7 linked regions of the Macaca mulatta genome follow. The protein of the gene in region 2 interacts with the protein of the main gene of each other region in a pairwise test. Links are inferred from orthologs where the notes say so. Each region holds a gene or a part of one and is shown on either strand. Other genes may lie near its edges. The genes, in order: WDFY3, TRIM39, POLI, UBE2D4, EIF4A2, PSMD9 and UBXN6.

Evidence for each region.
Region 1: the proteins of TRIM39 (region 2) and WDFY3 interact in binary tests that used the Homo sapiens proteins (3 or more experiments, as listed by UniProt). The two-hybrid records come from large-scale screens. The link is inferred for Macaca mulatta from reciprocal best matches to the Homo sapiens genes TRIM39 and WDFY3.
Region 3: the proteins of TRIM39 (region 2) and POLI interact in binary tests that used the Homo sapiens proteins (3 or more experiments, as listed by UniProt). The two-hybrid records come from large-scale screens. The link is inferred for Macaca mulatta from reciprocal best matches to the Homo sapiens genes TRIM39 and POLI.
Region 4: the proteins of TRIM39 (region 2) and UBE2D4 interact in binary tests that used the Homo sapiens proteins (3 or more experiments, as listed by UniProt). The link is inferred for Macaca mulatta from reciprocal best matches to the Homo sapiens genes TRIM39 and UBE2D4.
Region 5: the proteins of TRIM39 (region 2) and EIF4A2 interact in binary tests that used the Homo sapiens proteins (3 or more experiments, as listed by UniProt). The two-hybrid records come from large-scale screens. The link is inferred for Macaca mulatta from reciprocal best matches to the Homo sapiens genes TRIM39 and EIF4A2.
Region 6: the proteins of TRIM39 (region 2) and PSMD9 interact in binary tests that used the Homo sapiens proteins (3 or more experiments, as listed by UniProt). The two-hybrid records come from large-scale screens. The link is inferred for Macaca mulatta from reciprocal best matches to the Homo sapiens genes TRIM39 and PSMD9.
Region 7: the proteins of TRIM39 (region 2) and UBXN6 interact in binary tests that used the Homo sapiens proteins (3 or more experiments, as listed by UniProt). The link is inferred for Macaca mulatta from reciprocal best matches to the Homo sapiens genes TRIM39 and UBXN6.

Annotation. Positions count from the first base shown.
Region 1 is NC_133410.1:48,985,240-48,988,739, forward strand, and holds part of WDFY3 (WD repeat and FYVE domain-containing protein 3), read left to right. Parts: intron 1-936; coding exon 937-1,164; intron 1,165-3,500. UniProt on the Homo sapiens protein: Required for selective macroautophagy (aggrephagy). Acts as an adapter protein by linking specific proteins destined for degradation to the core autophagic machinery members, such as the ATG5-ATG12-ATG16L E3-like ligase, SQSTM1 and LC3.
Region 2 is NC_133409.1:152,687,402-152,690,901, forward strand, and holds part of TRIM39 (E3 ubiquitin-protein ligase TRIM39), read right to left. Parts: intron 3,490-3,500; coding exon 3,467-3,489; intron 2,890-3,466; coding exon 2,770-2,889; intron 1,724-2,769; coding exon 1,150-1,723; 3' UTR 1-1,149.
Region 3 is NC_133423.1:37,857,186-37,860,685, forward strand, and holds part of POLI (DNA polymerase iota), read right to left. Parts: intron 2,462-3,500; coding exon 2,225-2,461; intron 300-2,224; coding exon 121-299; intron 1-120. UniProt on the Homo sapiens protein: Error-prone DNA polymerase specifically involved in DNA repair. Plays an important role in translesion synthesis, where the normal high-fidelity DNA polymerases cannot proceed and DNA synthesis stalls. Favors Hoogsteen base-pairing in the active site.
Region 4 is NC_133408.1:84,408,847-84,411,084, forward strand, and holds the end of UBE2D4 (ubiquitin-conjugating enzyme E2 D4), read right to left. Parts: intron 1,412-2,238; coding exon 1,370-1,411; coding exon of another isoform or gene 1,366-1,369; exon of another isoform or gene 1,205-1,365; intron 965-1,204; coding exon 889-964; 3' UTR 501-888; downstream 1-500. UniProt on the Homo sapiens protein: Accepts ubiquitin from the E1 complex and catalyzes its covalent attachment to other proteins. In vitro able to promote polyubiquitination using all 7 ubiquitin Lys residues, but may prefer 'Lys-11' and 'Lys-48'-linked polyubiquitination.
Region 5 is NC_133407.1:11,824,738-11,828,536, forward strand, and holds the end of EIF4A2 (eukaryotic initiation factor 4A-II), read right to left. Parts: coding exon 3,732-3,799; intron 3,707-3,731; exon of another isoform or gene 3,529-3,706; intron 3,271-3,528; coding exon 3,133-3,270; intron 3,098-3,132; exon of another isoform or gene 2,966-3,097; intron 2,907-2,965; coding exon 2,817-2,906; intron 2,790-2,816; exon of another isoform or gene 2,651-2,789; intron 2,597-2,650; coding exon 2,517-2,596; intron 2,091-2,516; exon of another isoform or gene 1,980-2,090; intron 1,277-1,979; coding exon 1,132-1,276; 3' UTR 501-1,131; downstream 1-500. Other genes in the region: RFC4 (replication factor C subunit 4), read left to right, coding at 1-75, 146-259, 337-432. UniProt on the Homo sapiens protein: ATP-dependent RNA helicase which is a subunit of the eIF4F complex involved in cap recognition and is required for mRNA binding to ribosome.
Region 6 is NC_133416.1:129,287,286-129,289,457, reverse strand, and holds the end of PSMD9 (26S proteasome non-ATPase regulatory subunit 9), read right to left. Parts: intron 1,811-2,172; exon of another isoform or gene 1,294-1,810; coding exon 1,205-1,293; exon of another isoform or gene 1,148-1,204; intron 907-1,147; exon of another isoform or gene 868-906; coding exon 840-867; 3' UTR 501-839; downstream 1-500. UniProt on the Homo sapiens protein: Acts as a chaperone during the assembly of the 26S proteasome, specifically of the base subcomplex of the PA700/19S regulatory complex (RC).
Region 7 is NC_133424.1:5,289,015-5,293,253, forward strand, and holds the start of UBXN6 (UBX domain-containing protein 6), read right to left. Parts: upstream 2,801-4,239; 5' UTR 2,748-2,800; coding exon 2,665-2,747; intron 2,403-2,664; exon of another isoform or gene 1,815-2,402; intron 1-1,814. UniProt on the Homo sapiens protein: May negatively regulate the ATPase activity of VCP, an ATP-driven segregase that associates with different cofactors to control a wide variety of cellular processes.

The sequences.
Region 1 (3,500 bases), on a different chromosome or scaffold from region 2:
AAGCTTATCTTAAATGTTTTATTCTCAGATTAGCTATTCTGGATCTATTAAAGGTTTCTGAATGGTTAACTGCTAATATTTTATGGATATCACACTAGATCCTTAGTTTCCCCAACCAAAGAACATATAAGTACTACTGTGATAGGTAAATTTTTAATTATTTACTCAGTAATCTTTACTGACAGTTATGTTTTAGAAATCTTTATTTTTAGATTTAAATTGTGTATACTTACATTCCATGAATCGTTGGGCAAGTTATTTATCATTGTGTACTGTTGAAATGTTACATATTTGTCATTTGATAGACAAGAAGAACTTGTACTGTGACATAATTTCCTTTTAAGTAAAATGGTTTGAATCTATCCCAGTGGCCAGGAGAAAATGGTTTCTCTTTGATTTTTGTATGAATGTCAAGTTTCCTCTTAGTGCTGCATGTTTATATTCTTCATCTAAAATCTTTGGAAATGTTTACCTAGTTCACCAGTAATCAAGCCTGTTGGCACTTTTTCTTCATCTGATTTCCTAGACTATCCCCCATACATGTTGTGGTAGCTATTTTCCAGTTTGGTGTATCTTTAAATTACCATATGTATTTATTAGCGCACATAGGGCTAACCATTTCAATATATTTTCATCATAATATTACTGTCTTTCCTGTGCCAGATAAACAGACTTCTTTGAACTCTCTGTTCCACTGTATTGCACGCTCTACCCTATACATGTCTGTCATTTACTTGATGCTTTAAGAAGTCCACCTTCTACAACAAACCCGCTTACTTTAACCATAAACGAATGTAATTTTACTTTTATAGGATTAACTGAAATGGTGTGGATTGTGTTTGTTTCCAAGTAATAACTTGATTTTCAGTGACTTGTAGACTTGTTACTGTTACTCCTGCTTTTGCTTGAAAACCGACCTGGACTCTTTCCTGTCAGCGTCAGCAGAATGCCCTGAAGTACGTGACGGAAGAGTGGTGCCAGATCGAGTGCGAGCTGTTGCGGGAGCGGGGGCTGTGGGGCCCTCCCATCGGCTCCCACCTGGACAAGTGGATGCTGGAGATGACAGAAGGGCCCTGCAGGATGAGGAAAAAGATGGTGCGAAACGATATGTTTTATAACCATTACCCTTACGTGCCAGAAACTGAACAAGAGACAAATGTGGCGGTGAGTATGCAGAATTCAATGATCACACTGGCTCTTTCAAGTTTTTATTTTCCTTTGTAAGCATTTTTTCTCTATTAAGTCAGTTACCTCAAATAGCTCATTTAAAAAATTCAACAAACTCCATTGAATTGATAACTTCAGAGTGGAGGTGGAGTGAAAAGATGCAACAGTGCAAGAAGGAGACATCATGATAAAGAGGTTTATATCAGAGACTCCAGACCCAGACTGCCCAAATTTAAGACCTGACTCCACCACTTTGCTATGGGTTACGGGTCATTAAACCTCTCCGGGTTTTCGTTTTGTTATGCCTGAATTTGAGCAAATAATGGTTCCACCTCATAGGACTATTGGGAGGATTAAGTTCATTAAAATTAGTTAAGTGTTTAAAATAGTGTCTGGTCCAGAATAAGCACTATATATTAGAACACATGAATCTTCTAAGTAGCTCTGATCATATAAGGTGAGGCAGCTTGAATTGTTCCAATGCCTCTTGGTTTTCTCTGACGACCACCCTAGCTCCATTTATCTTGTACTGATTGGTTTAACCTCAGTCCTGATGCTAATGTAGATCTTAGCATCAACCTAAGTGTCCATCAGCAGAGTAACATAAATAAAATATGCTATGTTTACATAATGGAATAGTATTCAGCCTTAAAAAAATAAGGAAAGCCTGTCATTTGTAACAGTGTATATGAACCTGGAGAACATTATGTTACATGAAATAAGCAAGGTGCAGAAGGACAAATACTACATGATCCATCTCACTTATATGGGGCATCTAAAACAATCAAACTCAGAAGCAAAGAATAGAATGAAGGTTTCCAGAGGCTGAGAAATGAGGGGAATAGGGAGATGTTGGTCAAAGGTTACAGTTTCAGATAAACGGGAGGAATACATTTTTTTGAGATCTATTACATTCCTAGTGACTATAATTGATAATAATGTATTGTACATTTCAAAATTGCTAAGAGAGTACATTTCAAATGTTCTTGGCGCAAAAATTGTTAAGTATTTGAGGTGCTGAATATGTTAATTAGCTTGATTTAATCATTCAAACCATATACATATAACATCACTTTGTATACCATAAACAATTATAATTTGTCAATTAACAGTAAAATTTCTAAAATAGTAATATATGTAGGTCTTAGCTCCTGCTGATAGTTATTAAAAGTTTAGAAGATAGCTCCCTAAAGTCTGCTTTTCTCAAAGCTATTCAATTCTGTCAAGAATGCCATACTTGATGCAGCTGTGCCTTAAAGCACTATAATTTCTAATTCTGGAGCACTGTAAAAAAGGTAATCTACCCATATTTTTGCAGCCTGTTACTAGCACTTACTTTTATAAGAGCAAAGCAACAATATGATCTTTTAATTGTTAATCTTTTTTCCTTAACAATCTATTAAGAATTTAAGGCATTAGCAGTTTGATAAAGTATTTCTTATTGAGTCAATGCTTAAATTGAATCCATTCAAGAATACTAAAATATAAATATGCTTTCCCAAATATATGACCAACTCACTGTTTAGATTTAACTGAGGCATATACTTTTGAATTATTTTTACAATAACCATAATATTTTTATCTGTGCTCCTTTCCTTCCTTGTAATAATGTCATTTGTTTACAAAAGTGTATTTTAACTTCTATATCAGATAAAAACAAAGTACCCTATTAAGAGTTCACACCTACAACCGTAGTATCATCAGCATTTTACCTAGGCAAAGGAATTCACCAGCCTGTGAAATCGAAACAGACACTGTCATAAATAAGTATGTACCAGATGGAACTTATGTATTTAACAAGTGGGTTACATATTGGAAAATACAAGACAGTTGAGAAATGTTGGAGATACTTTCACCTAAAAGGAAAAAGCAGTCAGGAAGGAGAGACAGTTACAGAATATAGAATTCATGCTGCATAGTTCATGCACAAATCAAGGTCAAGATTAATCTGCTATGGTGTAATTTTCTGAAATAATTTTTATTTTAGTTTTAGTAGTTCACATATTTTGTAAATTTGAAATGCCATTAAATGTCCACTTGTATCTTTTGGAATATGCATCTGGCAGTGTTAAAAACAAATTTTCAAAAAGTTATAATATCTATTATCCCACTGAATTCTACCATCAAATCAAAAAAGAAGAGCTAATATTTACAGAGCACAATGAGCTAGATCAAGCTTCTCCAATCCGAGGCCCAAGGGTCACATATAGCCCAGGATGGCTTTGAATGTGACCCAACACAAATTCATACACTTTCTTAAAACATAATGAGACTTTTGCCAGGCACGGTGGCCCACACCTGTAATCCCAGCATTTTGGGAAGCCGAGGCAGGC
Region 2 (3,500 bases):
AATGGCAAAGGGTGAGGGATGGCAACAAACAAGCAAAAACCTGGCTTTTGTTAACACCAGTTCCAGGCCAGATGCACACAGGCCAAAGGAAGTTGCCTATCTGGCCCTTCCCTATATACCACCCTCTCCCACTGTCTTAGAGTGAGAAGGACTCCACTACCTTTCTTCCTTTCTGGCTTGGACACCTTGGCCAGGTAACAAGGCTGACAATTTGGGGGTAGCTACTTAGTAACATTCTTTAAGGCCAGGGCTTTGGATACAAATACCCTTCTCTTTCCTCTAATACCTGACTCTCCTTTCCAAGTTCCCTTGGGAACACCGTGAGAGGATAGATGTGTCTTGCAGGATCTCTTCCACCTTGCCCCTGGAGAGGAGCAAAGTGACTGACTTATTGGTATAAAGAGGCAAGCAATAAGCCAACTCTGCTGAATGCTGAGGCAGGGACCTGGGTTCTCTGCTTTCCTTTCAACCTTTCCTTCTCCCCACATTCCTACCTCTGGTCAATCCTACCCATAATGGCAATCTTACCTTTAAAATAGAAGACCAAAGAAACCTCCCTCCCCTTTATTAATCTCTAGGAATCTGTTCCTTTAGCCCACTTCCCTGACCTTCCTTCTAGCCTTGTTGATGTCCAATCTCTGCCCTCAGAAAAACTCCTCAACATCTAGACCCATGAGAGCATCTGTCATTCATCTTTCTTGAATTTAGAGGTACACAGACCCCTGTGATCTACCTCAAGAAGCAAGACTATCCTGGGTCAAAGAACTCCCTAAAAAGATGTGCAGGGGTTTCTGTTTCCTCCTCTGGTTTGAGCAAGTCAGACCCTCACAGATTTTGTTTCTGGAAAAGCCTCTCCTTCCTTTCCAACCCGTCCTTGTGCAACAGAAAACCTGATGGACTTCAGGGTAGACAATCCTCTGGGAACCAGCTCCCCACCCTGACAGTTAGGAGGGAGTCACAGCTGTGCTGTCTCATCCAGCCCAGTCCTACCTCCTTCTCCACACAAAACCATCCTAGAAACCGAGGTGTTTCTCCATGATGATTCAGGACTGGAACCAGGTGGACACGAAGACGTTCCAGCAGGACACAGGAAGGAGGCCCGTAGCACTTGACCCTGCCTCACCCCAATTATTCCCACATCCCAACCTGTCACTCCCAATCTGTTGGGGGCCTGATGGTAAGTGGTGCAGCATTCTTCCGTCCAGCCCGGATGCCTGGGTAGAAGAGGGGCCAAAGTTTCTCAGTAAAAGTATCAGTGAAGGTGTAGATATGAGAGCGGTCTGTGACATTGTAGAAAGACAGTGTGCCGGCCTCATAGTCTAGGAATATGCCTACCCGCTTGGGTTTCACTTTGATGTGCAAAGGGGTAAAAGGTGTGGTGGTGGCCGCATATTTGTCCCCATTCCATAGCCGCACCCGCCAGTAGCCAGTCTCAGGGAGTGGAGTCAACTCGCCCTTTCGGCTCACGGAGTCCCGGCATACACCCACTGCCCAGTGGGTCTTGTCGCCCACCTCCACCTCCCAGTAGTGTCGACCTGAGGTGAAACCCTCAGTAGCCAGGACGCAAGGGTAGAAGGTGAAACGCCTTGGTGTGTCAGGGAGATCCCGGAGTCTTGTCTCCACGAACTTGACGCTCTTACGATCCTCCGACAGGACTAGGTTAGGATGAGCTGTCTCAGGGTCCAGGGTCACATCCGCTGGCGGGAGAAGCCAGAGTGGGGAGCTAGATGAGGATGGGAATAGCTAAATGCCCCTGCCTCACTCTTCCAGCCTGCCTTTACAGAGCCTGGTCCCTTAAAGGTCCCCAGAACAACACGGTTTGGTTAACTTTCTCAATCCATGGTGTCACCTAAGGGAGGGGAGAAAGCAATGGCTCACTTCTCACACTGACCCTAAAGTAAACAGATAATAATCTCTTGAGTCTGCAGTGGCTGGTAATGTAGGTTCCCGCCTGGTCCTCTCTTCATCTCCCTCTGACATTATCATTTATCTAACTACATAGAGAAGTACAAGGTGTAGTCTGAGAGGCAGAAAAAACAGAAAGTGTTAAGAAGGATGCAGAGCAAGACAGCATATGGTCTAGGGATAGGGTGACCATGTGTCACTGGCCTGGTTTATGACTATTTATCCCTGCATATTCACATTAATATAATGACACTCCCTTTCAGTTTCTTTCTTTCCTTTTTTTTTTTTGAGATGGAGTCTCACTCTATCCTCTAGTCTGGAGTGCAGTGGTGCGATCTCAGCTCACTGCAACCTCTGCTTCCGAGGTTCAAGCAGTTCTCCTGCCTTAGCCTCCAGAGGAGTTGGGATTACAGGCGCCCACTACCACATCTGGCTAATTTTTATATTTTTAGTAGAGATGGGGTTTCACCATGTTGGCCAGGCTGATCTCAAACTCCTGACCTCAAGTGATCCACCAGTCTTGGCCTCCCAAAGTGCTGGGATTACAGATGTGAGCCACCGCGCCCGGCCATTCAAGGTTATGCAAGTTTACGTGGTAAATTATATAATCACTCTACCCAATCTTTGGCAAATTATTTAACCTTTCTGGGCCTTGAAAAAGTATGCACCTAAGAGTAGGTAACACTTAAGGCTTCCTCTCACTCCAAGTTCTGTGACTCAGGGTGAGACTAAAAGCCAGATAAAGGGGTAGGTGTGGGTGGGAGTAAGAAAAGTGAGAGATGGGATAACTGAAACCCATATAAGGCAGGACCTAAAAGCTTTCTTCTCTCTAGTGGTTCCTTCTAGTTTCCTTTTGGGAACAACTCACCAATTAGCTGTTTAAGGATTTTCCTTAGGGCAAAGTACTGTCGGGGGAAATTGCTGAAGTTCTTTTCCAGCTCTATGGATACTGAAGTCACCTCCATGGTCTTCACCTTCTCACATCTAGGAGGGATAGGGAGATAGGGGAAGAAAGGGCAGAGTTAGGGAGAAGCTCCAGCCAAGTGACTATTCAGATGTTAACATCTTTAGGGAGAAATGAAAATTCTCCATCTTTCCACTTTCTTCCTCCTCCCTGAAGAGCTCACCTGTTGCTTTCTTTTACTAATCCAAGGAGAGCCTTATGATCCCGTGGACAGATCCTCATTTTGAGAGTGAGCCTCTGAACTTTCTAGGAATATTCCTATATTTCATGCAAATGGATGATTGCCCTCCCTGTTCTCCCAACCCCTTCCTCCTTCCATCTTGTTCGGACATAATTCCATCCACTGGCACAAGTAGAATCTGGTTCTGCCTTATCATTCTCCTTCTCAAGAAGTCCTGATGTTCAAAGGGGAAAAGGGATTATTCTTCCCAATAATTTGTTCTCTACCTGGCATCATGGGCACAATGAACATTCTCCCATACCCTGCTCAGACACTACATGACTTTCCCAACCTTACCCCCAACCCAAACTCCTGACTGTACCCCTCCTCTCTAAGCCAAGACCTAACTCACTGAAAGAGATACAACAATCACTTACTTTTCCAGGGTACTTTTGACATCCTAGAAGGAAG
Region 3 (3,500 bases), on a different chromosome or scaffold from region 2:
TAGGAAAGAGATCACATACTAAGCAAACTAGAATAGTAAGAACATGGTACTGTAACTAGAAATCTTTATCTCAAATAATGTGATAACCAGTACTTAATTAAAATAAATATCATCGTGTACCTGCGGTGGTCCTGAGGGTATCACATGGGAGTTATCCTCTCCAAAACTGAGCTTCTGGATACGCTGAGCAAGTGAAATTCCTAATTCTTTTTCTAAAATTTTGGATGAAAAGGTTTGGAGATCATGCACACTATTGATACCCAGTGCTTCAAGACATTTGGCAGTTTTATAGCCAATACCTAAATAAAAAGAAGTGCATACAAAGTTAAAAATAGCTTTTCTCCTTAAAACAAAGCTAATTAAAATATTATAAATATATCAATCATATCTTTAAATTCTATAATTTACACAGTAGTCCCCCCTTATCCACAGGGGATACATTCTAAGACCTTCAGTGGATACCTGAAACCATGGACAGTATCAAACCCTATATACATACAGTACTGTTTTTTCCATTACATATATACCTATGATAAAGTTTAATTTATAAATTAGGCACAATAAGAGGTTAACAATAATAAAATAGAACTACAACAATATACTATATACAAGTTATGTGAATGTGGTCTCTGCCTCCCTCTCTCAAAATATCTTAGTATTTTCAAACCACAGTTGACTGCAGGTAACAGAAATTGTGAAAAGTGAAACTGCAGATAACGGGGGACTACTGTATTTTGCAAAGATCAAACTCCATTGCAAACTAGGTTGCTGTTCTTCCACTCAGGGCTCCTGAATTATATGCATCTCTTTGAAGTCCTCACAAAATGCAGCAAAACAAAATGAATACAGAGACAGTCAATAAATGCTGTCTTACTAAAATAAAAATTTTACTACCTGTTATGTAAAATTCCAGAAATATTCAGAAATCATGATTATTAATGTACAAAAAGGCTGCCACTAGAGCAATTAAAATGAATTAAGTGTACATATTAGGTAAACTAACTGGTTCCTATATGCACCACCATATATTTATCCATAAGTCATATCTAACATTTACCATCCAGAATACAGCTATGAGCCAGAAAGCAAACAAAACAAAAAATCTTGCTAGCAAAACTGTCACAAAGTTCTTGCACTAAAATTCAGTCATACTTTATCCACAAGAGAAAACACTCAGGCCATTTAGTGTCTCCTTATTCTTTTCATTTAAAAATAATAATTCCACAGTTATCTGATTTTCTTGCACAAGAAAAGCCTAAGTTGGAGGAAATGGCTGTGTAGGGGGAATTATGAGAGTGACAGATTTTTCACGCAAAAATAAAAGGCGGCTGGCAATTTGGAAATAAGTGAGAAAGCAGAAAGCCTGTTTAAAAAAAAAAAAAAAAGTTACAAGAACTCAAAAGTAAAGCCAAGTAATAATGTTTTGCACCAGTATATAGTCCTCAATTTATTACAACCTGACATTGTTCTTCAGAAGGCAGAACCAAAGTCATCCACAAAATTTCAAATTATAGTTATACTATACTAAGGAAGGCAAGGCAGTGTATAATACATTTTGGAATCACACAAGTATCAGTTAAAAATGTGAAGTTTGACATCTAAGTTTCAGAGGTATTAGAAATTCACTTCCACAGAACTCTTTTATAACATCTTATTCCCCAGCAATACCACAGAAATGTAGTTCAACATATCCATTATCAACGGTCTATAAAAACTTGGGTATTTGATCTGCAAAGAAACAAACTTGCACCATGACCTAAATAGGTCACCAAACTCCTCATGGAAATCAGTTTCCTCATCTTTAAACTGAGGAACCTAGATGTTTTGGAAAGTCCATTGTAGCCTTAATATTTTATATATAATCCCAAAAGAGACTTAGTAAAAGACAAACTCCCCTCTCTAGAGGCAATGTACAGTATAAGAGTATGACCCAGGGACTGGAAATAAAGACCGTATGTTTCTAGGCTATAACTTTTATGACCATATTCTAACCATCCAAAGTAGATAAAATAAGAAAAGTACTTTCACATATTTCTTAATCCAAATTTGCTTCAGAAAACATTATGGTTTTTGTTAGTTTTTTCCAGGAACCAAGTATACACACACATACATGCACACACTCACATACACCTCTACCTAAGAATTAATTACACTGTACCTATAATTTTAAAATTAAAGAAATATAATAAGACATATATGTACTTTTCAAAGATATTTGTCTTACCAGGTATTTCCTTTATGTGATTCAAACTAAGAATAAGATGTTGACAACTTTCCGGTAATAAGACTGTTTGTTGATTTGGTTTAAAGACACCAGAAACTAATTTTGCCAACAGTTTATTAGAAGCCACTCCAGCACAGCCAGTGAGCCCCAAGTGATTATACATGGCTTCCCGCATCTCTGCTGCAATCTGAGATCCAATAAGTAGTCTGATGTGCAAGATGTCATGCAGGTTTATAGCTTTAAAAACAACAAATGTCATTCAAAGTCACAAGAAAAAAACTTTAAAATTTTGTTTTTTACAAAATAATTTTTAAAAGGTAGAAGGCTTAGTCTATATCCAACCACCACCACCACCACCACCACCACCACCACCACCACCTGGTATGGTTGCAATGTTTGTCCCCTCCAAACCTCATGTTGTAATTTGATCCCTAATGTTGGAGGTGGGGTCAAATGGGAGGTGTTGGGATCACAGGGGTGGATCCCTCATGAACAGATTAATGCCCTCCCTCAGGGATGAGTAAGTTTCTCACTGTATTAGCTCCAGAGACAGCTGGTTGTTAAAAGAGCCTAGCACCTCCCCCAGCCCTTGCTTCCTCTCTCACCATGTGATCTCTGTACACACTGGCTCCCCTTTGCCTTCCACCATGAGGCGAAACAGCCTGAGACCCTCACCAGATGCAGAGGCCTAATCTTGACTTTTCCAGCCACAAGAATCATGAACCAAATGAACCTTTTTTTCTTTGTAAATTACCGAGTCTCAGGTATTCTGTTAAAGCAACACTAAATGGACTAAGAGACCACTGCCACCCTGTTATCCACTTGACTAATCTCTTTCATGCTTCATAGGAATACTGTAAACAAATTCAATAAGCAAATTCCAACAGCCTGTGATAGTGACTGTATACTGGGAGTGCTTAATAATTAACACATTATGGAAACTGATCTCATAAAAACATTCCTACTGACATTAACAAAACTTTTACTCATATTTACCTGTAAGTAAGCATAAAAGTACTATTATATAACAAGAAAGCTAACATTATGCTTTAAAGATCTAAATCTTAACCATGCACTAACTATATATGCTGCTGAAAACAATCTCTGACCTGTACATAGTTTTAGAGCTCTTTTATGAAAAGTGTAAGAAAATTATATAAAAATAAATTTGCTTTAGGTGTTAAACAGTGTTGGAATTACATGAAACCATCCTAACCTCAAAGAGATTCACACTAAAAGTATTTAGAGATGAAATGTCAGGATGTCTGCCATTTGC
Region 4 (2,238 bases), on a different chromosome or scaffold from region 2:
CCTCAGTATTCTCAATGGGAAAGTATCTGGCAATAAATTTGTAGCCACAACTTGGAAGTTTCTGGAAGAAGTCAACCTCCCACAGTCACCTTTGGCTGACTGCTTGTGTTAGGTCTGTAGACTTCCTTTCAATCAGCCTGCAAAAGTCCCATCTGGCCATTTGGTCACAGTTTAGCATCACTTCCTGGGAGTGGGCCAGCTTTATAACCAACCTAGAAAGATCAGGTTGAATTTGGCTTTAGAGATCTGAAGCTCCTCAATTTTCTTCCCTCTTTGGAAGTTTTATTAGAATAATCTCTATCCTTTTCTGTCCTCTTCCTAAGTAACCTAGTCTCAAGGCTCGAAGCTTTAAAGGCAAACCTTAAAATATGTTGCATCAGAAAGCCAAGACAGAAAGCCGATCACCTAATAGGCTATTGTAATTTCAGGCTCCAAATAACTGTTAAAAGTGGGTATCTTCTGTTCTGCCTAAAAGAAAGAGGCTGAAATGTCAATTATCATTTAGAGTTATGAGTGAATTGCATTTTTATTTACATTTAAGAGTCTCTCTCCCTCCTTGTGTTCTAGTCTGTGAATGGCTCACACCTGGACTTAGTGTAGGCTCCTAGTGGGAGGAGCGGGGAATAGTGAGAATTCTCATCAAATGGAGTAACATGACCCAAATCTCTAGAGGTTTCATAATTTTGCTCTTGCTTCTAAAAACACAGTCATCTCTTATGGGGTGTTATGTGCTTTGTATCCTGAAATTTTCCACTTGCTGCTTCTTGGTGTGAAGGGAGAAATGCCAGCATGTGGCACTGCAGGAGGAGACTGGTGGAAGCTGCAGGGCTAGGCCTTCACTTCCCAGTGACACTGTTCCCAATTCCCTCCAGGATGAGCTGAGACTCCTCAGGATGTGGTTCTGCAGCAGATGAGGTGTGAAGAAAGCCTGCTCTGACCTGGGCACCCAGGATGGCACTGAGTTCTAAAAGGCAAAGGGTATGTGGTGAGGGGCCAGGCTGAGGCCCTGGTGTGGTACCATCATGGGCAGCAGCACCATTTGAGGCCAGGTAGGAGAGACGTGCAGGGCCTGGCCCCCCAAGAGACCAACAGACAAACTGAGGCGGCAGAGAGAGAGATTCCAGTGTCATCAGGAAGACTGCAGATCATAACAACAATGGCTGCTGATTTGGCATCAAAGAGGTGGCACTGTCAAAGCCATAAATGCTGAAAATGGCACCAGCATGCTGCAGCTGGAGAGAGTGGGTGACCAACATTTGTTTGAAGAACAGATGACGCTCTTTGAGTGGCTCAGCCAACAGCCCAAAGTTTTAAGGGAAGACCTCTCTGCCAGCTTCAACGTCTCACGTAAAACCTCCGAGGCACTTACATAGCATATTTTTGTGTCCACTCTCTCGCTAGTCTGTTGTACCTGGAATAAAAAAGCAGAGGGAGTGACACCCTCACTTGAAATGGTCACTTCTCTTCAACGTGGTGCAGAGAACAGGACTGATGTGGGGAATGCTGCTACTGCTGCTGCTTGTCAAACATCTGGGGCTGATGGGTAAGTGGAATAAAGGCTTTCCCTGGAGCAGGAGCACATCAGACATGGCTGTAAACCCCCAGCTGGGTGAATCCCTCATTGTGTAAACCCAAAACTGTTGATTCTCCATAACTATCTGCTGTGGAAGATTTAATAATGCAAAGACTTCTTCCCTTTCTTTCACCTGTCCTACAATATGGATGCAGGGAGGACAGAGAAGAGACATACAAAGGTCAGTTTGTACTAGTTACAGGACGTTCAGCACACAAACTCCAGAACAAGGGCTTGGGAATCTGCCTACCGGAGTGTGCATCAGCACCATCCTCAGCAGCTGTTCCACCCCTCTGTGCCCTGGCTTTTTTGATTGCTTGCCATAGTGAGAGTACCTGCCTTGTGTGCTTGTGGGGAAGACTAGAGAAGTCTGTATGCAAAGCACGTGGAGCAGGCCGGGCATCCATTGAGGACTATGCAGGTGTGTGCACTTACTCTCATCATTGTAATAAGATTTGATGCTATGAGACTATAGATTAGAGAGATTTATAGTTACAAGAGGCACTGAAAAAAATCACTTTTGGTATGTCTAAAATATCTCGTAATAAGTGTTAAAATAAACACAAGTTAAACCCCAGTCAATTAAAAATGTTGATTGTTATTGAGAAAACTCCAGTGAGGGAAATAATAAGATCTATAAAGGTCTCAAGAAAAATATAATTTGA
Region 5 (3,799 bases), on a different chromosome or scaffold from region 2:
CCAGCTGAGAAAATTGATGGAGTATTTGCTGCCTGTCAGAGTGGCTCTTTTGACAAACTAGAAGCTGTGGTCAAGGTAAAGTCAGCTTACTAACTTTGGGGAAAGGAATATTAAATGATCATACCAAAAGTTTTTTTTTTAATAGGACTTAATAGATGAGGGTCATGCAGCAACTCAGTTCGTCAGTCAACTCCATGATGTGGTTGTAGAGAATAATTTATCTGATAAACAGAAGTCCATTATTACAGAAAAACTTGCCGTAAGTAGGTACTTTGCACATGTCAATTAAACATTTAACTACCTGAAGGATGCTAATTTCTTAAATTTTTCTTGTAGGAAGTTGACAAATGCCTAGCAGATGGTGCTGATGAACATTTGCAACTTATCAGCCTTTGTGCAACTGTGATGCAGCAATTATCTCAGAATTGTTAAAAAGTGAATATATTTTGATGTGGGGTTTTGTAAATAAGGGGGTTGTAATAAAAATGACCAAAAGCACCTTTAAAGTGAATATACAATTTATTTAACATTCAAACTTCATTAAGACATGTGCAATATGGCAATTTTACTGGGGATTAAACCCTACCTAGGATGATTGCTTGCTGGGGCTTAGCAACAGGGTCCAGTTCACACTTAGCACTAATTAAATACTTTATTGAATAAATACAATACCAAACAAAATGCATTCAAATGCTTTCTAAAAAAATTTTAAAGGCCTTTCTACTCAGGCTAATGACAAACACAATAAAGGCAGATATGCTAGTTTAACATAATTGGCTGATTTTATACAGCACTTATATCTTTTAGTCCACAAGTATATTATTAAATGATAGAGAACATCTAATACAACCATTTCTACAGAACTAGGAAATAAATTTCTAAGAAAGAAAGGTTTTACAGACCCCATCTTTTATACCCACCCCAACAGTCTAACTCTAAAGAGGATAAAGCCAATGACTTTCCTCACAAGAGCTCACGACTAATGTCGCTTTGCTATCAAAATCTGTATTTCTGATCCGTTATGAGCATTGAGACAAGATTCAAATATTCCCAAAGAAAGAAGCACAATGCACGTTGTGATCGCCTATTCAGCAACAGCGAGCACTGCATCCAAAACTCTCATCCCAGGAATTAAATAAGGTCAGCCACATTCATGGGCATCTCCTCCACTGTAGTATTGTAGAAAGTCTCAATGTCACGAAGAATCCTCTTGTCTTCTTCAGTAACAAAGTTTATAGCCACACCTTTCCTCCCAAATCGACCCCCTCTGCCAATTCTGTGTAAGAAAAAAACAATCAGAATGTTACTTCTCACATAATTTATGAACTACTGAACATGACGATCCACTTGTTAACCATCAGCTGCTGTTTACTTATCAAGGTTATAGTTCGTGCTTCTAACTGGAGCACTAGCTGCTAATGCATATCTAGAGAAAAAAATCTTCCTTTGCAGTTAGTGCCAAAAGGATTCAAGGCTTGTCTGGCTGCAAAATGAGATTTTTATCAGGCATCTTGAGCATTATTATAAAGCAGATGACAGTATTGTGTTTGGGGTAGTGAAATTAAAGCCCATACCAAAGTGGGCCAGCCAAGAGCAGGTGTCAGCCTGGGACAGATGTAAACACCAGGAATAAAAGAGCAGTTATGTAATCCATTTCGACGCACTTCTGGAACTGTAAACTGTAAACAAATGCTGCAAAGGTTAACTATTTTCTAAAACTTACTTTTTTCCAGTGGGAAAACAAATATTTGGTATGGTAACCCAAACTTATCACTGCTTTTTTGCTCAGTTTCACACGTTGTAACTCAAATTACTCAAAACGTGTTTAACCGCCAAACAGCTACCTTCATGTTAGAAACCAGACAATACAAACCACCTAGTAAGAAAAGTTCCCTAACAGAAATACTGATACAAAAGATGCCTCAGCTGGAGCAACTTAAAATAAATAATCATGACAAAAGAAAAACAAATATAAATACCGACTCGCTCTTTATTCAAACAGTGTGCTGTTTCGCTTATGATTCCACGTCCTAAATTACGTCAACGCCGTTTCTGAGTGCCATCTCGTCATCAACTGCTGCTATCGACTCCTGTATTTTTTAAAAAGTCTTTTTTTACATCACATAACAAAGTACGATTCAATTTATTTAGGGATAAAGCCACTATAACTAAACCAGGGTTCACTCAAATTGCTACCAGGCGACACCAAGAAAATCCCAACTATGGAAAAAATCAAGAAAAAGCACATGGACACAAGAACATCACTAAAAGCTCAAGCATAAGCTAAGACCAACAATTGCGGGGGAAAAAAAAACCTATGCCCACAATCTGAGCAATGTTTACAAGTTTTCCCACTTTGTTCTCGTCAGCCTTCCCCTAGTACAAATTACATCATCTTACTGAACACTACTGACTTGACTGAATCTATTCCTTGATTTGATGTTACCTTTCATACAAATCACAGTAGAAAAATGTATGAATTTTTTTTCAATACATCCAAGATGCTGGCTTCTCACCTGTGAATATAGTTTTCACGATTGGTAGGTAGATCATAATTTATAACCAAAGACACTTGTTGCACATCAATCCCGCGAGCCTGAAACACAATGGCATATGTTAAAAATTCTAATTCAAAAAACATGGTACCTGTCATGTAGGCCACAAAATAGTAGCGAACTATACTAAGTGGTATAGCCCACTGTGGAGTGTGGTCCTTTTACTCTTCCAAATAGCCCAAGCTGGCAAAGGTTACTTAAAAACCTTCCCCCCAAAAAGCTAACTTTTGGTAGATTTTTAAAAAGCATTAAGAGACTTACCAACAAGTCAGTAGTGATCAGAACACGACTTGACCCTGACCGGAATTCCCTCATGATAACATCTCTCTCCTTCTGGTCCATGTCACCATGCTGCAAATTAATAAACCTTAATTCAAGAATCACCAGTCAGGTCAGTAATTTTAATCAACATGTATGAGACCAAGCGTCCCTGGCTGCTACAGGGATATAGCAGACAGGTATAGTTAAGAAACAACTTTATTTTGAGCAGGGGGAACGACAACACAGCACTTAGCAGCTATATTGTAGTCTGAATCCTGCTTTAGTGGAAATCCAGACATTTTAGAACACCTCTTACCAGAGCAGAAACTGTGAAGTCTCTGGCATGCATTTTCTCAGTCAGCCAGTCCACCTTGCGCCTTGTATTGAGAAAAATAACAGCTTGCGTAATGGTCAGTGTCTCGTACAAGTCACAAAGTGTATCCAACTTCCATTCCTATAATGTTTAGAAGAGAAAGTTAACAGTCATTTAGCTTTTCCAACTTTCTTCAGTTAAAAATACATTCTGGGCCAGGCACAGTGCTTATGCCCATAATCCCAGCACTTCGGGATCCCAACACTTGAGCCCAGGAGTTCCAACCAGTTTCCAGATAGTGAAACCCTGTCTCTACCCAAAATACCAAAATTGGCCCCTCTTAGCCAGTCTCAAAACGTAGAAATTATAAAAATTAACTTCATTCTATCAGGTCTAATGAGATATTGCACCAAATCTTAAGACAAAGGACATTGGACATTAAGAAAGAGGTCCATCCCAGTCTTTACAATCTAGTGCTGTTACTTTTCTTCTTGTGTGTACTCTGCTAGCATTATTGCAAAAACCAAGACATAGTCCTAGTGTCTGCAATTTTAGCACAGTGCTTATACAAGAAGGTAAAATAATGTCTAACAATCAGTTACCTCTCTCTCAACATTAATATAAAACTGTTTGATTCCTTCAAGGGTCAATTCTTCCTTTTTCACCAGAA
Region 6 (2,172 bases), on a different chromosome or scaffold from region 2:
TGCATGGTGGTGCACGCCTGTGGTCCCAGATACTTGGGTGGCCGAGGTAGTGCCCAGAGGGTCAAGGCTTCCGTGAACCTTTATCACAACACTGCACTCCAGTCTGGGTGACAAAGCAGGACCTTTTCTCCAAAAAACAAAATGGAGGGGTTCTTATTACCAAATTGAAAGGAGCTTCCTGCCCTCTGGAGAGCTTGCTTCCTCCTAAAGAGGAAGCTGACACGACACCACACTGGGCCACCTGGGGAACCTCCAGGCTTTCCCTGTTCTCCAAAGGGAGCTACTATGGCCCTAGCGGCCCAGCTGCTGAGGAAGCATGGAACTACTTAGCAATTTCCGTATCCACAGCAGCAAGGCCTCAGTGCAAAGAAATATGTTGGTCAAAGCCGGACTTCACAATTGCTAGCTTGTTTTGCTCAACTTTCTATGAAGCTCTTCTGACCCCTTCTGAGCTTTGGTTTGAGAGGGTCATAAGAAATTCAGTTGGGGTGACAACAGGGTCATATCAGCACTGTAAAACTCTTTATTAAAAATAATCATCATCATCACACCAGTACCTGCCGGAATAACTTCCGCCCACTTGCCCACAGTTCCTATTTAGGGAATTCCTATTCAGGGCCGTGGCCTAATTTGCGAAAGAGGCCAAGCATAAGTTTTTAAGAATGTCTTAATCCAGGGAGATTACACTAGTGGGCCACAGCACTGCCACCACCCAGAAGTTCAGGCTACAAGCCTCTTCCAGATCCTTATGCTTCAGGGAGAGAAGACAAGGAGGAAATCCCTAGACCCAAGTCCAGGGCAAGGGAAGATGCTTTCCTGTTACTGTTCCTCAGGGACAATCATCTTTGCAGAGGAATAATGTTGCACCTGGAAGAAAGAAGAAAAGGAATGGCGTAAGTTTGGAGGCTCCCTATAGGAAGGTCAGAGGCCGAGCCCTTCTGACCTTTTCACCAATGTTCTTTCATTCTTTTAAATCAAATGCCCAGTGCATGAATGAACCGGAGAGTCCCAGGAGAGACACTGGGGCTCCCTCTGCTTCTACAGCTGTAGTCTCGTTCCTACCACGAGGATTTATCTGCAGTTTCCAAACGAACTGGGGATTCCCATTATTCCCCAATGTCTCCCCAGCCTTCCCCTCCAGCTTCACGTTTAACAAACACTCAAATGATGCCCCAGTGAGAATGAACAGAAACAGACACTTTACCCCAGCAGTCCTTTTCCTGCCCAACGTGTTGGAACAAGTCTAAGCTGGTGTTTCTCCCCGCTGCGGATCACCGTCACATTCAGGGGCTTCTGAAAAGAAAATAAGCTCGTTTTGTGTTCAGCCTTGTTAGTACTCACAGTTACAGGCTAAAATGCTGAGATCCCATTTTTTGCCTATCAAATTGGTAAAGATTTTCATTTTCAGCATAATCCTGTGGTTGGCGAGAAGGTAGGGAACATGGCACTGCGCTCTCAGGGCAGCCAGGGTGCTGACCTTAGTACCATCTTCCTCAAAAAATACGTGTCCCCCCACCAACAATTTTTAAAAGGTATGTCCAAGGTACATAGTACACAATTACAAGATGACATACAAATGAAGTGTTCATTCCAGGGCTGTGTAGAAATCCAAAAACTGAGAACATCAGAAATGTCCATCAATAGGTATTGTTCAAATACAGTACAGAGAATGAAGGGTTTTAGTCAAAACAAAACAAAAACCCCACCAAAGTATGAACCTATTTGATAGCATTTTATTTTCTTTCTTTCTTTCCTTCTTTTTGAGACAGAGTCTCACTCTATCACCCAGGCTGGAGTGCAGTGGCGCAATCTTGGCTCACTGCAACCTCTGCTTCCCAGGTTCCAGCAATTCTCGTGCCTCAGCCTCCCAAGTAGCTGGGACTACAGGCGCCCGCCACCACACCTGGCTAATTTTTATATTTTTAGTAGAGATGGGGTTTCACTATGTTTGGCCAGGATGGTCTCAGAACTCCTGATCTCAGGTCATCCGCCCGCCTCGGCCTCCCAAAGTGCTGGGATTACAGGCGTGAGCCACCGCGCCCGGCCAATAATATTTTCTAAAAGGACACCTGTGTTGCTCTAGCATGTGAAGTTTTCTGGAAGAACATGGAAAAACTTGTTACGAGTGGTTACATCCAGAGAGGATTAGTCCTTTGGAATAAGAGGAAGATG
Region 7 (4,239 bases), on a different chromosome or scaffold from region 2:
AGGAAGTCCGGGCAATGTGCCCCATGCCACACCACCCTTGTGGCAGGACCCTGGGGTCAGCGGACAGCAGAACCAGCCTCGCCCTGGCCACTCCATGCCAGGCCCGGGGCTGTGCAAGTACCAAGAGCTCATGGACTCGCGGTTCCGCCCTGTTGAGCCCTACACCAAGGAGGGTTCCATAATCCACTTGGCACAGTGGCCTGGCAGAGAAGCCCTTTCTGCCAACCTGCTCGGACGCGTCTGTCTCGCCTGTGTCCTCTCGGGCCCCTCCCGTGAATCCAGGGACTGTGTCACTTTCCATGTCGTAAGTCTCTTAAAACTTCCTGGAGGCCAGGCTCTCAGTTCAAGCCCTGTACTCCTCTGGCTCTGCTTAGATACTCGGGCAGCCCTCCCTCCTCGTCTCGAGGCTTAGCTTCGTGCCCACCCCTGCCTATCTAGTCCTCCCACAGCGCAGCATCTTGGGTGGAAGAGGAGATGACTCATGAAGACCCATCCCAGCCCCATCCGATATCTAGGTCTTTCCAACAAAATGGCATTTCCCAGGGCACCTCACCCCAACCGGTCATGGACCCTGCCCGCCCTGGGCAGCCACAGGGACCCTTCTGCAACCTCAGCCAGGGAGCGTCAGCATCACTCCACTGCACGACGCCCCCCCACCACGAAATCCTAAAGCCTCCCTCGGCCGGAGAGCCCTTCCCGGCCTGGCCCACTGCCCTCCCCTGGCCTGGCTCCCCTGGGCTCCCCGCGGTTCTTCCCATACCCCAGCTGCTCCCCGCCGCAAGGCCCTGCACTGTCTGCGCCTTCTGCCCACAGTGTTCTCCTGCGGGGAGGGAGGAGGACAGGGGATCTGGAAAGGGCTAGAGCTGCCACAGGGAGAGAAGGAGGGGGCTGATTTCCCCACGGCTGAGTCTCTCTGTGTCCTGGGAGAGGCCTTCCCAAACCACCTGATGGCGTCTGCTCACCCTCCTTCAAGGCCCTGGGCACCGCCTGAGCCCTCCTCTGAGGTCTGTTGGTTTATTTGTCCATCAGCTCCCTCTAGAAGTTGAGCCCTGGGACAGCAGAGGCCTTCTCCTGTCCACCACTGCAGCCTAAAACAGGACTTGGTGCCCACACGCCCCACACACCCTGGATATCCAGTCTCGCTCCAGAGGGGACCTCCGCACCACTTCCCTTCCCGAGTCTCCCCTCTGACCTTCCCCTCTCCGCCAGGCTCTGGGCTGACCCAGCCATCACCCTGATGCCCTGCATCCTTCCTGTCACGCCCAGTCCTAACCCCACCCACTACTGGTTGAATCAATGAAGGGCTCCCCCCATTTGTCCACTTCTCTCCCTGACCCCCCTCCCTCTCTCACTCAGCCTTTGCTCTCCTGCTCTCCCCTAGGAACCCTGAATTCCTCGCTATGCCCCTACCTCCATCACCACCCCACCAACCCGTGATTCCCTGACCCCCACTTCCTGCCACCTCCCTGCCTCTCCTCCTACCCCCTCCCAGCCCCCACCCCTTCACAATCCCTTCCATTATTGCTTACAGACCCCTACCCTGGCTGCCTGGCTGACCTCCTTCCTCAGTCACTCTCCAACAGTCCCCACCACCCCCTGGCCAGCCAGCTCCCTGCAGCAGCCCCAGCTCTTCCAGCTTCCCTTTTCTCAGCCCAGCAGCCCTCAGCCTCGCACCCTCTCCAGCGCCACTTCTTTCCCGGCCCTCCACCTGCCCTCCCAGCTGGCTCAGCCCTGCTCAGGCCCTTCTCTCCAAGTCCTCCCTAGACGATCCCGAAGCCTGCCCGGCACTTATCTCCTTTCCCCTCCCCTCTCACCTCCATAATCCACTTGGCACAGTGACCTGGCAGAGAAGCCTCGTAGAGAAGGCCTTTCTCCCAACCTGCTCAGAGGCGTCAATCTCGCCGGTCTTCTCCTCTCAGGCCCCTCCCGTGTCACAGTCCATCTGTCAGAGTCCCTCACCTCCAGTCTCCTCACACACCTTCCTCAGCCCCTCCCAGGTGACTGAAGACGCTACCCACCCCGGCCTCCTTGGCCTTCCAGACTCTTCCTGGTCTCCCATCAGCCTCCCACGTGCTCCAGATCCCAAGTCCAGAACCCCTCTTCCCATGGATGCCTCAGAACAACTCTCCACCACCCCACCCCACAGTTGTGCGTCTTCCTCCAAGCTCAGCTCTCATCCATGGTCACCTAGATTCCCCCAAATCATCCCGGCCACTTAAGGACCAGCCGGGTCCCCAGACCTCTCCCTTATCACCCGTCTCAGAACTGATCATCCCTTTTTTCCCCCAGGGTCGCTCCACTGACCCCCAACTTCCTGCAGCCCCGCCGCCCTAATCCCCCGCCACTGCCTCGGACCCTCCTGCGGCCCCGCCCCCGAGACTTCCCCGCCCACCCGGCCCCCTTGCCCCGCCCCCTGCGCATGTTCCCCTCCCCCCGCCTCCCTTGCCCCGCCCCCGGCTCACACCCGCCCCCTCCTGCCCTGACCCCAGATCTCTCTCCCCTCCCCCTGACGCCCATCCTCGGCCCCGCTTGCCCCGCCCCCGGAGCCTCTCCCCCTCCCCTGACTCTCGGCTGCCGCTCCCCAGCCCCTCGCCCTCTCCGATCTCCCGAGCCGCCCGAGGCCCCAGACCCCTCTCCCCGGCCGCCCCTGCGTTCCTCACGCACCCTACGGACTCTGTGAGCTTCTGACCGGGTCCCGCGCTCTTGAACTTGATGTCGGCCTTGAACTCCTGAAAGAATTTCTTCATGGTGGCGGCTGGCCCGGCGGCGAGGGGCCGCGGGGGCGGGGGGCACAGGGCCCAGTCGGGGAGGGGCCGCCCGGGACCAGCCACCGGAAAAAAAATACCGCGCCGCCGGAAGTCCCGCCTTCCCGAGGCCGACCACGTGACAATAGGCTAGAAGTGCCTCTCTAGCGCTCGGTGCCTCGCTGGCCCAGGGCGGCCGCTCTGTACGCTGGAGCCGCATCTCTGTGGTTCTTCCGGACTCCGTTGCCAGGGCGACGAGTGCGCCTCTCGATTAGAGTCAGTGCCTTGCCTGGCAGCTTCCGTGGCGCTCCCCAAACGGTGACAGACGGTGACAGGACGACTGAACCTCGCAGAGAAAGCACTGGGCCCTGTCCCTTTCGCTGCTCAACCTAAGCTGGGCACGGTGGCTCACGCCTGCAATCACAGCACTTTCGGAGGCTCAAGCGGGAGGATTGCTTGATTCCAGAAGTTGGAGACCAGTCTGGGCAACATGGCAAAACCTCGTCTCTATTTAAAAAAAAAAAAAAAAGTAAAATAAAATAATAGCCGAGGGTGGTGGCGCGCACCTCTCAGCTACTTGGCAGGCGGAGGCGGGAGGACCACTTGAACCCAGGAGGTCGAGACTGCAGTGAGCTGTGATCAAGCCACCGCATTCCACCGCATTCCAGCCTGGGCAACAGAGAGAGACCCTGTCTCAAGCAAAACAAACAAAAATCCAACCTTCCCTGTCTCCCCAGAGCTTACGTGATAAAGTCCCAATTTAATGTGGGGTATTGGAGGCCCCCACCTTCTGGCCCTGTTTTGGTCCCTGAAGCCCCCCGCCCCACCCCACCAACACCACCACCACCACCACCACCACTTACCCTAGGTAGAAGCTGTTTAAGAGGATGCATCCAATTGGGACCTGGGGATCCACTTTGGTGAACAAGACAGAGAAACCAGTTAATAGTGGCGTACTTTGGGCTGTGCGATTCGCAAAGAAGATACACAAACTGACAGTTAAAACAAGCCTCCAAAAAAGGGAGTTGGGGGTCAGACGTGGTGGCTCATGCCTATAATGCCAGCACTTTGGGAGGCCGAGGCCGGCGGATCATTTGAGGTCAGGAGTTTGAGACCAGCCTGGCCAACATTGTGAAACCCTGTCTCTACCGGCGCCGGTAATCCCAGCTACTTGGGAGGCTGAGGCAGGAGAATCGCTTGAGCCCGGGAGGTGGTGGTTGCAGTGAGCGGAGATCTCACCACTGCACTTCAGCCTGGGCAACAGAGGGAGACTGTGCCTCAAAAAAACAAAAACAAAAACAAAACAAAACAAAACAAAAAAGGAGTTGGAATGAGATACACAAAGACTGAGGGAGGAGAGGCCTCCAGGTAAGGAAACAGCCCACTCTAAGACTGAAATTGAAATAACATGGGTTGGACAAGTGACTCAGGCCTGCAGTCCCAACATTTCGGGAGGCCAAGGTAGGAGGATTGCTTTAGCCCAGGAGTTTGAGGC